Callithrix jacchus: one gene and its partners. The protein of the gene in region 3 interacts with the protein of the main gene of each other region in a pairwise test. Links are inferred from orthologs where the notes say so. Each region holds a gene or a part of one and is shown on either strand. Other genes may lie near its edges. The genes, in order: DNM2, ARHGAP19 and ATXN3.

Evidence for each region.
Region 1: the proteins of ATXN3 (region 3) and DNM2 interact in binary tests that used the Homo sapiens proteins (3 or more experiments, as listed by UniProt). The link is inferred for Callithrix jacchus from reciprocal best matches to the Homo sapiens genes ATXN3 and DNM2.
Region 2: the proteins of ATXN3 (region 3) and ARHGAP19 interact in binary tests that used the Homo sapiens proteins (3 or more experiments, as listed by UniProt). The link is inferred for Callithrix jacchus from reciprocal best matches to the Homo sapiens genes ATXN3 and ARHGAP19.

What each region holds. Positions count from the first base shown.
Region 1 is NC_133523.1:9,995,291-9,998,573, reverse strand, and holds the end of DNM2 (dynamin-2), read right to left. Parts: coding exon 3,260-3,283; intron 2,350-3,259; coding exon 2,098-2,349; intron 1,499-2,097; coding exon 1,429-1,498; 3' UTR 572-1,428; downstream 1-571. UniProt on the Homo sapiens protein: Catalyzes the hydrolysis of GTP and utilizes this energy to mediate vesicle scission at plasma membrane during endocytosis and filament remodeling at many actin structures during organization of the actin cytoskeleton.
Region 2 is NC_133513.1:90,127,219-90,130,966, forward strand, and holds the start of ARHGAP19 (rho GTPase-activating protein 19), read right to left. Parts: upstream 2,476-3,748; 5' UTR 2,452-2,475; coding exon 2,396-2,451; intron 1-2,395. UniProt on the Homo sapiens protein: GTPase activator for the Rho-type GTPases by converting them to an inactive GDP-bound state.
Region 3 is NC_133509.1:126,952,835-126,956,582, forward strand, and holds the start of ATXN3 (ataxin-3), read right to left. Parts: upstream 2,568-3,748; 5' UTR 2,498-2,567; coding exon 2,474-2,497; intron 1,182-2,473; exon of another isoform or gene 1,043-1,181; intron 1-1,042. UniProt on the Homo sapiens protein: Deubiquitinating enzyme involved in protein homeostasis maintenance, transcription, cytoskeleton regulation, myogenesis and degradation of misfolded chaperone substrates.

The DNA of each region.
Region 1 (3,283 bases), on a different chromosome or scaffold from region 3:
CATCGGAGTCAATAAATTATGGTCAGAAAAATCAGAGCCTGCTGACTGGGGCTCACGGACACCAGCCAGGACAGACCGGCCCCGAGAGGGCAACCAGACAGGCGGGAGGGGCCTCCCACGAAGCTCAGAAGAAGGGTCGTGCGGGAGCCGATGGAGGTGGTCGCCTGGCACAAGAGAAAAATCAGAAAGCAAAGTTTAACTGAGCCCTGGCTGGGCCACAAGGCCTGGGCTTCCCCATGAGGGTGAGAAGCAGGGACTGAGGGTAGGAAGGGGGTGAAGTGCTGGGGTCCGTGCTCCACCAGGCAGCAGCCAGGCCTGTGCGCATGGGGGTGTGTGGGGCAGTGGAGAAGATCTGCTCCCACTCCTGATGTGCTAAAGAAAGTAAAAGCTCTCCTGTGTATCGAGTGGCTTCCTCCGAAAGGTGACCCCCCTGAAAGCAGAGCCCTTCAGGGAGTGAGGTGTGAGGCGCTTATGATTGTAGGGACCTGGGCGTCCTTGTGGGAGGCCTGATGGGGGAGGTGGTGCCCACGTCCCCAGCCTGAACACCAACACAAGAGGCCCACACAGCAGCCACCAGCAGCGTCTTCCCTTTATTTTTAGTTTATTAATAGGATACAGAGTGCAGGCACTTACAGTGGTCAAACCGAGCGAGGAGTGGGTGAGGTCTGCTCAGAGGCCGCCTGGGGCCCACCCCATCAGGGTAGCATGGGCAGGAGCTGAGAGGCCCCCAAGGTCCCCCCTGCCACCACCATCCACAGAGCCCCAAGCCCAGCCACCCTGGGGGACCCAGGAGGAGGAGGAGAGTAGGAGTTGGGCGAGGCCGGCCTGGGCCAATGGCTCCAGGCCTGGCAAAGGCACCTCTGGCAGCCGAGGCTGGGCCAGGCTCAGGCTGTGTGGTTAATATGGCCAAGAAGGACTATGTACAACTCAGGCCTGGCAGCTGGGCACTGCCGAAGAGCCCATGGGGCCAGGCTCACCACTGGGGAGCTCCTGCTGATGGGACGCTGACGTGCCCCAGCAAGGCCTGGGGACATAGGCGCCCTTGGTGCCCCCACTTCTAGAAGGCCCCTGCCCTACTGGGCTTTCCCAGCCCAAGAAGACCCTGGCAGAGTCCCCCAGGCTGGACCCCTCATTCAAGATGGTGTCGAGGGTGCAGGTCCCCCCTCTGCCACCCTGAGACCCCATCCTCCAAAGTGCAACACCCCAGCACCCCCTGCCTGGAGGTCCAGGGCCCTTTCTCGCAGTGCGGTGCCTGCCCCCAGCCAGGCACAGGGGCCGGCCCTGGACCCGGGCCAGCATTAGGGAAGAGGCCAGGGCTGCCCACTGGGAGCCTGGTCCCAGCATAGGGGTGGTGGAGGGCCCCAGACCACTGAAGCTCCTGTGCCATGGGTGCGCGAGGCCCCCCGAGAGCATGCCCCCACTCGAGGCCTAGTCGAGCAGGGATGGCTCGGCTGGGCGGATAATGGTGGGCCTGTTAGGCGCAGCAGGGGGTCTTCTGCTGCAAAGAGAATAAAGACAGGTGGGGAGGGGGAGACGGCAGTGAGGCCGTGAGCCAGAGGCAGGCCTGGTTGAGGACCCAGCCCCCACCCACACGCCACCCCAGGGTGCTCCCTGGGCTGACGGCTCCACAAGCCACCAGGGTGCTGGGGAGGAGTTTGCTGAACCCCAGGCATCGATTCACCTGCTGTTTGACCCTTGGTGAGTTTCCTGCTCTATCTGGGCCTCAGCTTCCCCACTGGATAAGCAGAGAGAATAAGGCCCGGCCCACAGGGTAGAGTGAGGCAGGCAGAGGCAGGAACAAGGTTAACAGTGAGAGAAGGTGCCCAGCATGAGGGATCCCCAGCTGCCTGGTAGTGCATCCCAGTGGGCAGAGGGCAAGCTGGGAGCCCTGGAGTCACCGGGCTCCCCTACTCTGTGACACTGAACAAGCCTCTTGGCCCGTCTGGGCCTGCTTCCCAGCCAGCCAAATGGGGATGAGGACAATTCCTCCAATCCAGCAGCTGGGCACATGGGGAGAGCTCACTGGGAGGCAGTGAGACTGGAGGAGAGACCCCAGGGTACAGGTAGTTGGGGTGGGGGGCAGGGGGTTGGCCTTACCTGGGCACTCCTGGGGGGATCCCTGGGGGGATCCGAACTGGCCGCGATGGGATTTGAGGTGGGGCCGGGAAGAGGTCATTGTTGGCAAACACGCTCTGTGGTCCAGGCCGGTACGGGATTGGGGGTGGTAAGGAGGAGGTTGCTGTCCCCATGGGCAGAGGAATCATGGGGGGCCCTGGAGTGGGACCCCTCACCGCTGGGGGCCGGCCTGGGGGGTGCACACTGGACACGGGTCGGCGCTGAGGAGTAGGGCTGTGAGGAAGGAAAGGGTGTGAACTACAGACGGAGTGGGAATCCCAGCCATGCCAATTGTGGCTGCCAGGGCCCAAGGCTGGGGGGACAGCGCAGGCGCAGTGGGATCCTCCCACCCCAACCTGAGCGCCAGACCCACCTTCCCTTTCTCCCGGCCCCCAAGGGCTTCTGTTGCCCTCTGACCTCGTCCCCGCAGCCCCAACGTGGCCAAGCACTTCCCACTCACACGGCTCCCTCAGGTCTCGGGCCCTGGGATCCACCCTCACAGCCAGACACTCCAGAGTCCTCCCAGATCAAGCCTTAAAGCTTTCAGGGGCCATGGAACACACAAGCCCTTCCGAGAAACCCAGATTCCCTCCTGGGCCCCAGCACCTGCCGCCTGCAGGCCTAGGTGCAATGTACTCCCCCTAACACCATGGCTCCCCAAGGGCTCTGTAGGGTGGCCCCGAGGTTCCCTGTGACTGCCTCAATGGCCTACACTCCATCCGACACCTCGGGGGCAGGGCAGGTCTGGCCACACCTTCCGTTTGCCTCACCAGAGCCTTCCACCCACCCTTCTCTGTCCTCCAGGAGGCTCATCTCTGTTCTGTGGCTGCTGCCCCTCCAGCCTCTTACCCTGGCTTCCATTTGGGCAGTGCCGATGGAAGGCACCAGCAGAGGGCAGACGGGGTGGATTTATTCATGGTTTCCAGCCCTAGAGCTCCAAGGCCGGCTGGCCCCCATTCCCCTTCTCTCCCTTCTCAGGCCTCAGCAAGGCAGCAGCTCCCACTGTGCCCAGCCTGGGGGCCGCCCCTTCTCCTGCCCACCCTTGGGCTGTGTCCCGTTTCCTGCCAGGACCCTGCAGGACACGCGGGGAGAACAAGAACCTGCAGGCTGCACGCTTGTGGGTAGGGGAACCAGGCTCCCGGACCTGTGGCTGCTGGGGCTCTGGAGC
Region 2 (3,748 bases), on a different chromosome or scaffold from region 3:
CTCCATCTCAAAAATTAAAATAAAAAAATAATGAGGAGGAGGAGGAAGAAACAAAAAGCTGGACAGTTCTAAATGATCCATATTCTGCATTCAATATTTAAATATGTATTCATCTGTGCCAATCAGACAAAAAAAGGGGCCACACATCAATAGAACATTAGAAAGATTAATCTTTTCAGGGCAAGAAAGAATTTGTAAAGTATTTATCACCATGAGAAAATATTTCTCTTAGAAATTACAGATTATTATTCACTAATTACTGATCACCTACACAAAGCTAAGCACTGGGAATATGTGATAAACACATATGTGTGTCCTGCCCTCAAAATGCCTTACAGAAATCCCAAACTTCTCTTTTACAACATGGAATTGATGAAATGGTTTCAGGTTCAGGTAAGATTGTGTGAATGCCTGCTGATCATGTAATTATCTAATATTCTCACTCAAAATTTAAATTCAACTAGCAATATAATATACTATAAAGAAATTCAGGTGGCCAGGCGCAGTGGCTCACGCCTATAATCCCAGCACTTTGGGAGGCCGAGGCGGGTGGATCACGAAGTCAAGAGATCGAGACCATCCTGGTCAACAAGGTGAAACACCGTCTTTACTAAAAAGACATGAGCATGGTGGTGCGCGCCCACCTCGGGAGGCTGAGGCAGGAGAATTGCTTGAACCCAGGAGGCAGAGGTTGCAGTGAACCGAGATTGCGCCATTGCACTCCAGCCTGGGTAACAAGAGCGAAACTCCGTCTCAAAAAAAAAAAAAAAAAAGAAAAGAAAGAAATTCAGGCCAGGTGCAGTGGCTCACACCTATAATCCCAGCACTTTGGTAGGCCAAGGCAGGAGAATCACTTATGCCAGGAACTCAAGATCACCCTGGGCAACATGGCAAGACCCCTGATTCTACAAAAAAAAAAAAAAAAAAAAAAAAAAAACACTAGGTGGGCATAGTGGCACATGCCTGAAGTCCCAACTACTCAGGAGGCTGAGAAGGGATGCCTGAAGTCCCAACTACTCAGGAGGCTGAGAAGGGAGGATGGATTGAGCCCGGGAGACTGAGGCTGCAGGGACCTCTGATAGCGCCACTGCACTCCAGCCTGGGCAACAGAAAGAGACCTGTGTTAGAAACAAAGAAATTCAAATTCTTCTATATCATATTTTATTTATTTTTTTATTTATGAAACGGAGTCTTGCTCTGTCACCCAGGCTGGAGTGCAATGGCACAATCTCAGCTCCCTGCAACCTTGACCTCAGCCTCCCAAGTAGCCGGGACTACAGGCGCCCATCATCACACCTGCCTAATTTTCGCATTTTTAGTAGAGACAGAGTTTCATCATGTTGGCCAGGCTGGTCTCAAACTCCCGACCTCAGGTGATCTGCCTGCTTTGGCCTCCCAAAGTGCTGGGATTACAGGCATGAGCCACCACGCCCAGCCCCGTATCATATTTTAAATAACACACTCAAGCACACTCATCTAGGCTCGGGATCATAAAGTCAGCTTCCCAAGATTCTTGGAATCTCCTATTCTGTACAAATGGAACCAAAAGACGCCAAATCGATGTATTTTATTGAGTTATGCTGAGGCAATGTAAATAAATTCAATTTATTGAAGTATACCAAAAAACAACATTGTAATCAATTAAGACAACTTAGGTCTCAAGGCTAAGGCAACACCGCCTCGAAACTCTTTCCTGGAAACACTAAATTTCGGTGTGGCTGTTTAGGAAAGAACATCCTATGGAAATAAAGTCATGATGTCCTGGACTACAGATCCCTCCCCCATCTGCTCCTTAGCTGTTCCGCTAGGAAGAAAAAACTCTATCGCGTAGAGTTGTCATTATCGATTTAGCTCAGTGCTAGCTTTAAATGGATTGTCTTATTCAATCTTGATACTTTGAAACAGGTATCCTCATGCCCCTCTACAGATGAAGAAACTGAAGTCGAGAGAGGTTTAAAAACTGGCCCAAGGACTCAACACAGTTTCTAATTGACATCAAATCCTTGCTCGGATCTGAACGCGCTAAGTGCCTTGGGGAATATATGAAGAGATGTGTGTAACCGTGAAGAATTCGCTAAACAGCCCTGGACTTCCGTTTCTTCGCCATCCAGAGGAGTCTCGGCGCCAAGGCGATCAGCGCTGCCACCCCCAGCTTCCAGCCAGCACAGCTGGCGGAGCCCCCTAGGACAACGGCAGGACGGAGCGGGGGACCTGGCTGGAGCCCAACACTGAGGCCGGACCCCCGCGCCTCAGCCCCCGCAGGCGAGACCGTGAGAAACGCCATGGGAGAAAGAAACAAAGCCCAAACCGTGCGCCACCGTGACCGAAGGCAAAGGCGGCAGGACGACTAGCTCAAGGCCGTGTTTCCCAGGAAACTGGACCAAACTCAGCTCACCTACGGCTGGATTCGCGGGCTGGCACCTCCCCTTCACTCAGTGCCTCAGTCGCCATCTTCGTCAGCAAACTTCTTTCACCGCCCCCCTTAGGTCCCGCCCCCACATCTTTGGATTGGCTAATATGTTTCCACCTCTTCCGTGCGGTTGGATGACTCGACCGCCCCTCCTCAACCTGAACCGTTTAATATATTATTGGTCTATTCAAATGACTAACCATCATTGGTCGTTCCCAGCCCTGGCGAAAAAAAAAGGGAGGGGCGGGGAAGACGACCCAGCTCCGAGGCCTGCCGGGAGTTGTAGTTTCTCATTTTGATTACCCTTTCGATTCCATCGACTTTTAGGTTCAAGTCAGAAATCACCAGCCTACGTTCAAATTTTGTCCTGATATGTAAATCTCAGAATTATAGAGCTGTCGACTGTGAAAGTGACTCATCACTTTCTAAAATACAACACTCCATACCTGTATCTTATCATCCCACAATATACCCAGGTAACAAACATACCCATGTTACCCCAAATCTAAAATGAAAGTTGAAAATAAATAAATAATTTTTCTTATTTATTTATGTATTTGTATGTTTAGTAGAGACAGGGTTTCACCATGTTGCTCAGGCTGGTCTTGGACTCCTGAGCTTAAGCAATCCTCCCACCTCAGCCTCCCAAAGTGCTGGGATTACAGGCATGAGCCACAGCTCCCAGCTATTAATTAATTAATTTAAGGCAAGACATTCTCTGTCTTAACCCAGAGAGAAATTCCTCAAGATCAGACAGGGAGTGGCAAACTAGAAGTACTTGCTTTTTTTTTTTTTTTAAGATGGGGTTTCACCATGATGGCCAGGCTGGTCTTGAACTCCTGACCTCAGGTGATCCACCCACTTCTGCCTCCCAAAGTGCTAGGATTACAGGCGTGAGCCACCGCACCCAGCCAAAGTATTTGCTTTTAAATGTGAAATATGTGCAGTAGAGTGAAAGGAGTAGAAACCCTGTCTCCACTCAAAATACAAAAATTAGCAAGGCGTGGTGATGCACGTAGTTCCAGCTACTCGGGAGGCTGAGGCAGAATCGCTTGAAACCGGGAGGCAGAGGTGGCAACGAGCTGAGCCAGCTACTGCTGACGCAAGAGAATTGCTTGAGTCCAGTTCTGTGCTGCAATGCACTATGCCTATGGGGTGTCTGCACTAAGCGTGGCATCAACGTGGTGACCTCCCAGGAGTGGGGGCCACCAGAATGCCTAAGGAGAAGTGATACAGCCTAGGTTGGAAGCAGAGTATATCAAAAACCCCATGCTGGCCAGGCATGGTGGCTCACAAGACCAGCCTGACCAACATGGTAAAACCCCATCTCTACTAAAA
Region 3 (3,748 bases):
AGCAAAACTCTGTCTCAACAACAACAACAACAAAATACAAAAATTAGCTGGTCATGATGGTGGGCGCCTATAATCCCAGCTACTCAGGAGGCTAAGGCAGGAGAATCACTTGAACCCGGGAGGTGGAGAGTGCAGTGAGCCAAGATCACGCCACTGCACTCCAGCCTGGGCAGGAGAGAGAGACTCCATCTCAAAAAACAAAAACATCAACCTAAATTGTTGAATCTTCATTTGCTATGTACATACAACTTGATGATAACATTAAATGTATTCCTGAAGTATCTGTAGGCCTACACACATGCTAAGAATTAAGAGGGACTTCTTTCAGGTAAGTAGATTTTCACTAGGCTAGCACCCAACTTTTTTTCATACCATGGTTCAGTAGAAATGTGTCCCAACTAGGTAACAATCAATATCGTTGAAAACCTTGTCTAAATCTCAGGAAGTAGTGTGGAACATATTTAAGGCCTTCCATGTTGAGATGTGGTCCCACATCAAAGCCTTTGAAAGTTAGTAACAAAAATACGGCTGGGTGCGGTAGCTCATGCCTGTAATCCGAGCACTTTGGGAGGCCAAGGCAGGTGGATCACCTGAGGTCAGGGGTTCAAGACCTGGGCAACATGGACCCTGTCTCTACTAAAAATACAAAAATTAGCTGGATGTGGTGGTGGGCACCTGTAATCTCAACTACTCTGGAGGCTGACGCAGGAGAATCCCTTGAACCAGGGAGGAAGAGGTTGCAGTGAGCCATGATCGTGCCACTGCATTCCAGCCTGGGTGACAAGAGCAAAACTTGGTCTCAAAAAAAAAAAAAAAAAATTTTTTTTTTAAGTACATGTGTATTTTCCACCCACTCTTTAATTACTGAGCCAAGTAATTAAATCTCTATTGTCTATGATTTGTAAGTCATGTCAATCAAACCAAAAGATTAATAACAACTATACGACTGAGTCTTTCCTCCCCCACTCTAAATCAGTCTATTTTAAAAGTTTCCTAGATGTTTTCTACAATTTAAAATATTGTACTTAACAATTTGTTCCAGGCACAGTGGCTGGCTAATGCCTGTAATCACAGCACTTCGAGAGGCTGAGGTGGGAGAATCACGAGTCCAGGAGTTTGAGACAAGCATGGGCGACACAGCGAGACCCTCATCTCCACACACACACACACAAATTAGCTGGCCATGGCGATATGCACCAGAAGTCCCAGTGAGGCTGAGGCAGGAGGATCGCTTGAGCCTAGGAGGTCAAGGCTGCAGCGAGCCAGGATCTCTCCACTGCACACCTGCCTGGGTGACAGAATGAAATCCCATCGCTAAAATAAAAAATTTTTAAATAGATTCATATTACAGATTTACATCTGGTAAATTTATTGCCTTTGCTTTATTTGTTGTGTGTGTGTGAATTTTAAATGTCTGGGATAATTAATCGTGATAATTACTGATCATTTACAAGTATTTAATTAAACAAAAACCCTTTGCTCCTCCTATTAAATAACAGCCTCGCCAGCAACTCCAAACACGAAACTATTATGAAACAAGACATCATATGCCAAAGTTGTCCTGGGGAAGGCTTCACTCACACACAAATGGCTGGATTAATAGCATGTGAGTAAAGACAAGTTTCTCCACTTATCACAAACAGTATCTTCAAGTGCATGGTCACTGAAGAGTTAAAGTGACAGCGGGCTAGGCAGACCACAACAAAATCATTCCAATCCACTCCTAATACCCAAACACAAAGCTGGCCGCCTGCTCCGGAAAGATGGGAGTACCCAAAGAAACCAAACCCAAACATCCCGTAATAAAAACTTGTGACGACTTCCCTGTTAAGGGACAAGCCGGGTTTCCTACTTCACTTCCTAAGTGTCAGGCCCCAGTGTGGGGGAGCCAAGGTCCCTTCCTTCGGGAGGCTTGCGGACCCAGTGCAGGGGAAAGACATGAACAAGACTCCAAAGATCTACGTGTAGGGAAGACTCTACACTGCAATATAGAATTGAGCAGTCCAGAGATGAAAAAGTTAATTCTGCCAGGAATGGGGTAGGAGGGGTCGAGGGAGATGTCCCAGAGGTCACTCTAGCTAGACCCTAGGGAGAGAGAAGGCTTGCGGAGGTCAAAGAATCCTTCGAAAAGCGATTGAAAGTGACGGAAAAAGGCAGAAGCGAACCCACTAGGCGCCACCCCACTCCCTTGTCCCGAGACGCCCCGGCCCCGCCCATACACCCTCCCGGCTTCCCGGGCGGGGGCCTAGGAAGCAGCGGGGGAAGTGGGGGATTCTGTGATGCTCCCCTTCCAGAGCCGAGGAGGCAGGAGGCTGCGGGGTCGCCCCTCGCCCGGCGAGATCCGGATGGGGGCGACTCGGGCCCCACCCAGCCCCCTGGGAGGTTGTGATGCCGCGCTCCACGCCCGCCACCGCGCGGCAGACAGCTCCCCACCGCACGGACATACAGCTCCCCACCGAACGCGGACACTCACTTTCTCGTGGAAGATGGACTCCATGTTTATTTGTCTGGAGCCAACGGCCCCCGCGCGGAACCACCCCCTCCAGCTCCGCCCCCTGCCCCTCTCCTCCGCCTATCCCGCCCCTCCCTGGTCCGCCCCAGTCTCCCCGCCCACGTGCAGTACGTAGACCAATCACCCGTGAGGATGTGAGTCACGTGGAGCAAAGAGCGAGTGAACGCCAGCGACACGTGACCTTGGTAGCCCGTCCTCCTATATTCTGTTAGCGGGCCTTCTGGGAGATGCTACAGCGCCACCTGCTGTTTGGAGGATCTGTTCCGCTTCCCACCCATTTCTATGGATTCTTAGGTTTCTGGCCGGAGGTCTGGACCACTCACCTGGGTTCTATGTTCTTTTTGTTTTCCACTTTATTTGAACTTTCTACTGTGTTCAAATAACTATTTATTATCTTTCTCCTCCTCCTCCAATTAAAGGTTGTTAAGCAAAGGTGTCATTACATTCTCCCAAAACCTAGCACTTGTATAAAAATGATAGCTAGGCCAGGGGTAGTGGCTCACACCTGTAATCCCAGCACTTTGGGAGGCCGAGGCAGGCGAATCACCTGAGGTTGGGAGTTCGAGACTAGCCTGACCAACGTGAAGCAACCCCCATCTCTACTAAAAATACAAAATTAGCTAGGCATGGTGGCACATGCCTGAATTCCCAGCTACTCCGTTGGCTGAGGCAGGAGAATCGCTTGTACCCAGGAGATGAAGGTTGGGGTGAGCTGAGATCGTGCCATTGCACTCCAGCCTGGGCAATAAGAGTGAAACTCCATCACACACACAAAAAAGAAAACAAAAAAGTTAGCTAATATTCATATAGGGCTTTCCATGAGCTAGGCACTTTTCTAATTGCTTTACACATATTATCAAATTTAATACAGCAAACTTTGATGTCGGTGTTGATGTTATTCATACACATGAGGAAACCAAGGCACAGAGAGATTAAGAAGAGTACAATGTCCAAGATAGTAAGTTACCTTGCTAGGATTCAAATTCAAGTGGCTTGTTACCAGCATAGGTGTTCTGGCCCTTTAGAGGGAAATTAGAGGTGCAGTGAATTGTGTGGGAAACGGGGAGGTAGCAGCAGTTTGATGAACCTTAAATGGAAGGATAGGCACACATCTTGCACCTGGAAACCAGATTAAGATGCACTTTTTTTTTTTTTTCTGAGACGGAGTTTCTCTCTCTGTCCATCTCACCAAAAAAAAAAAAAAAAAAAAAATGGCTGGGCACGGTGGCTGTCGCC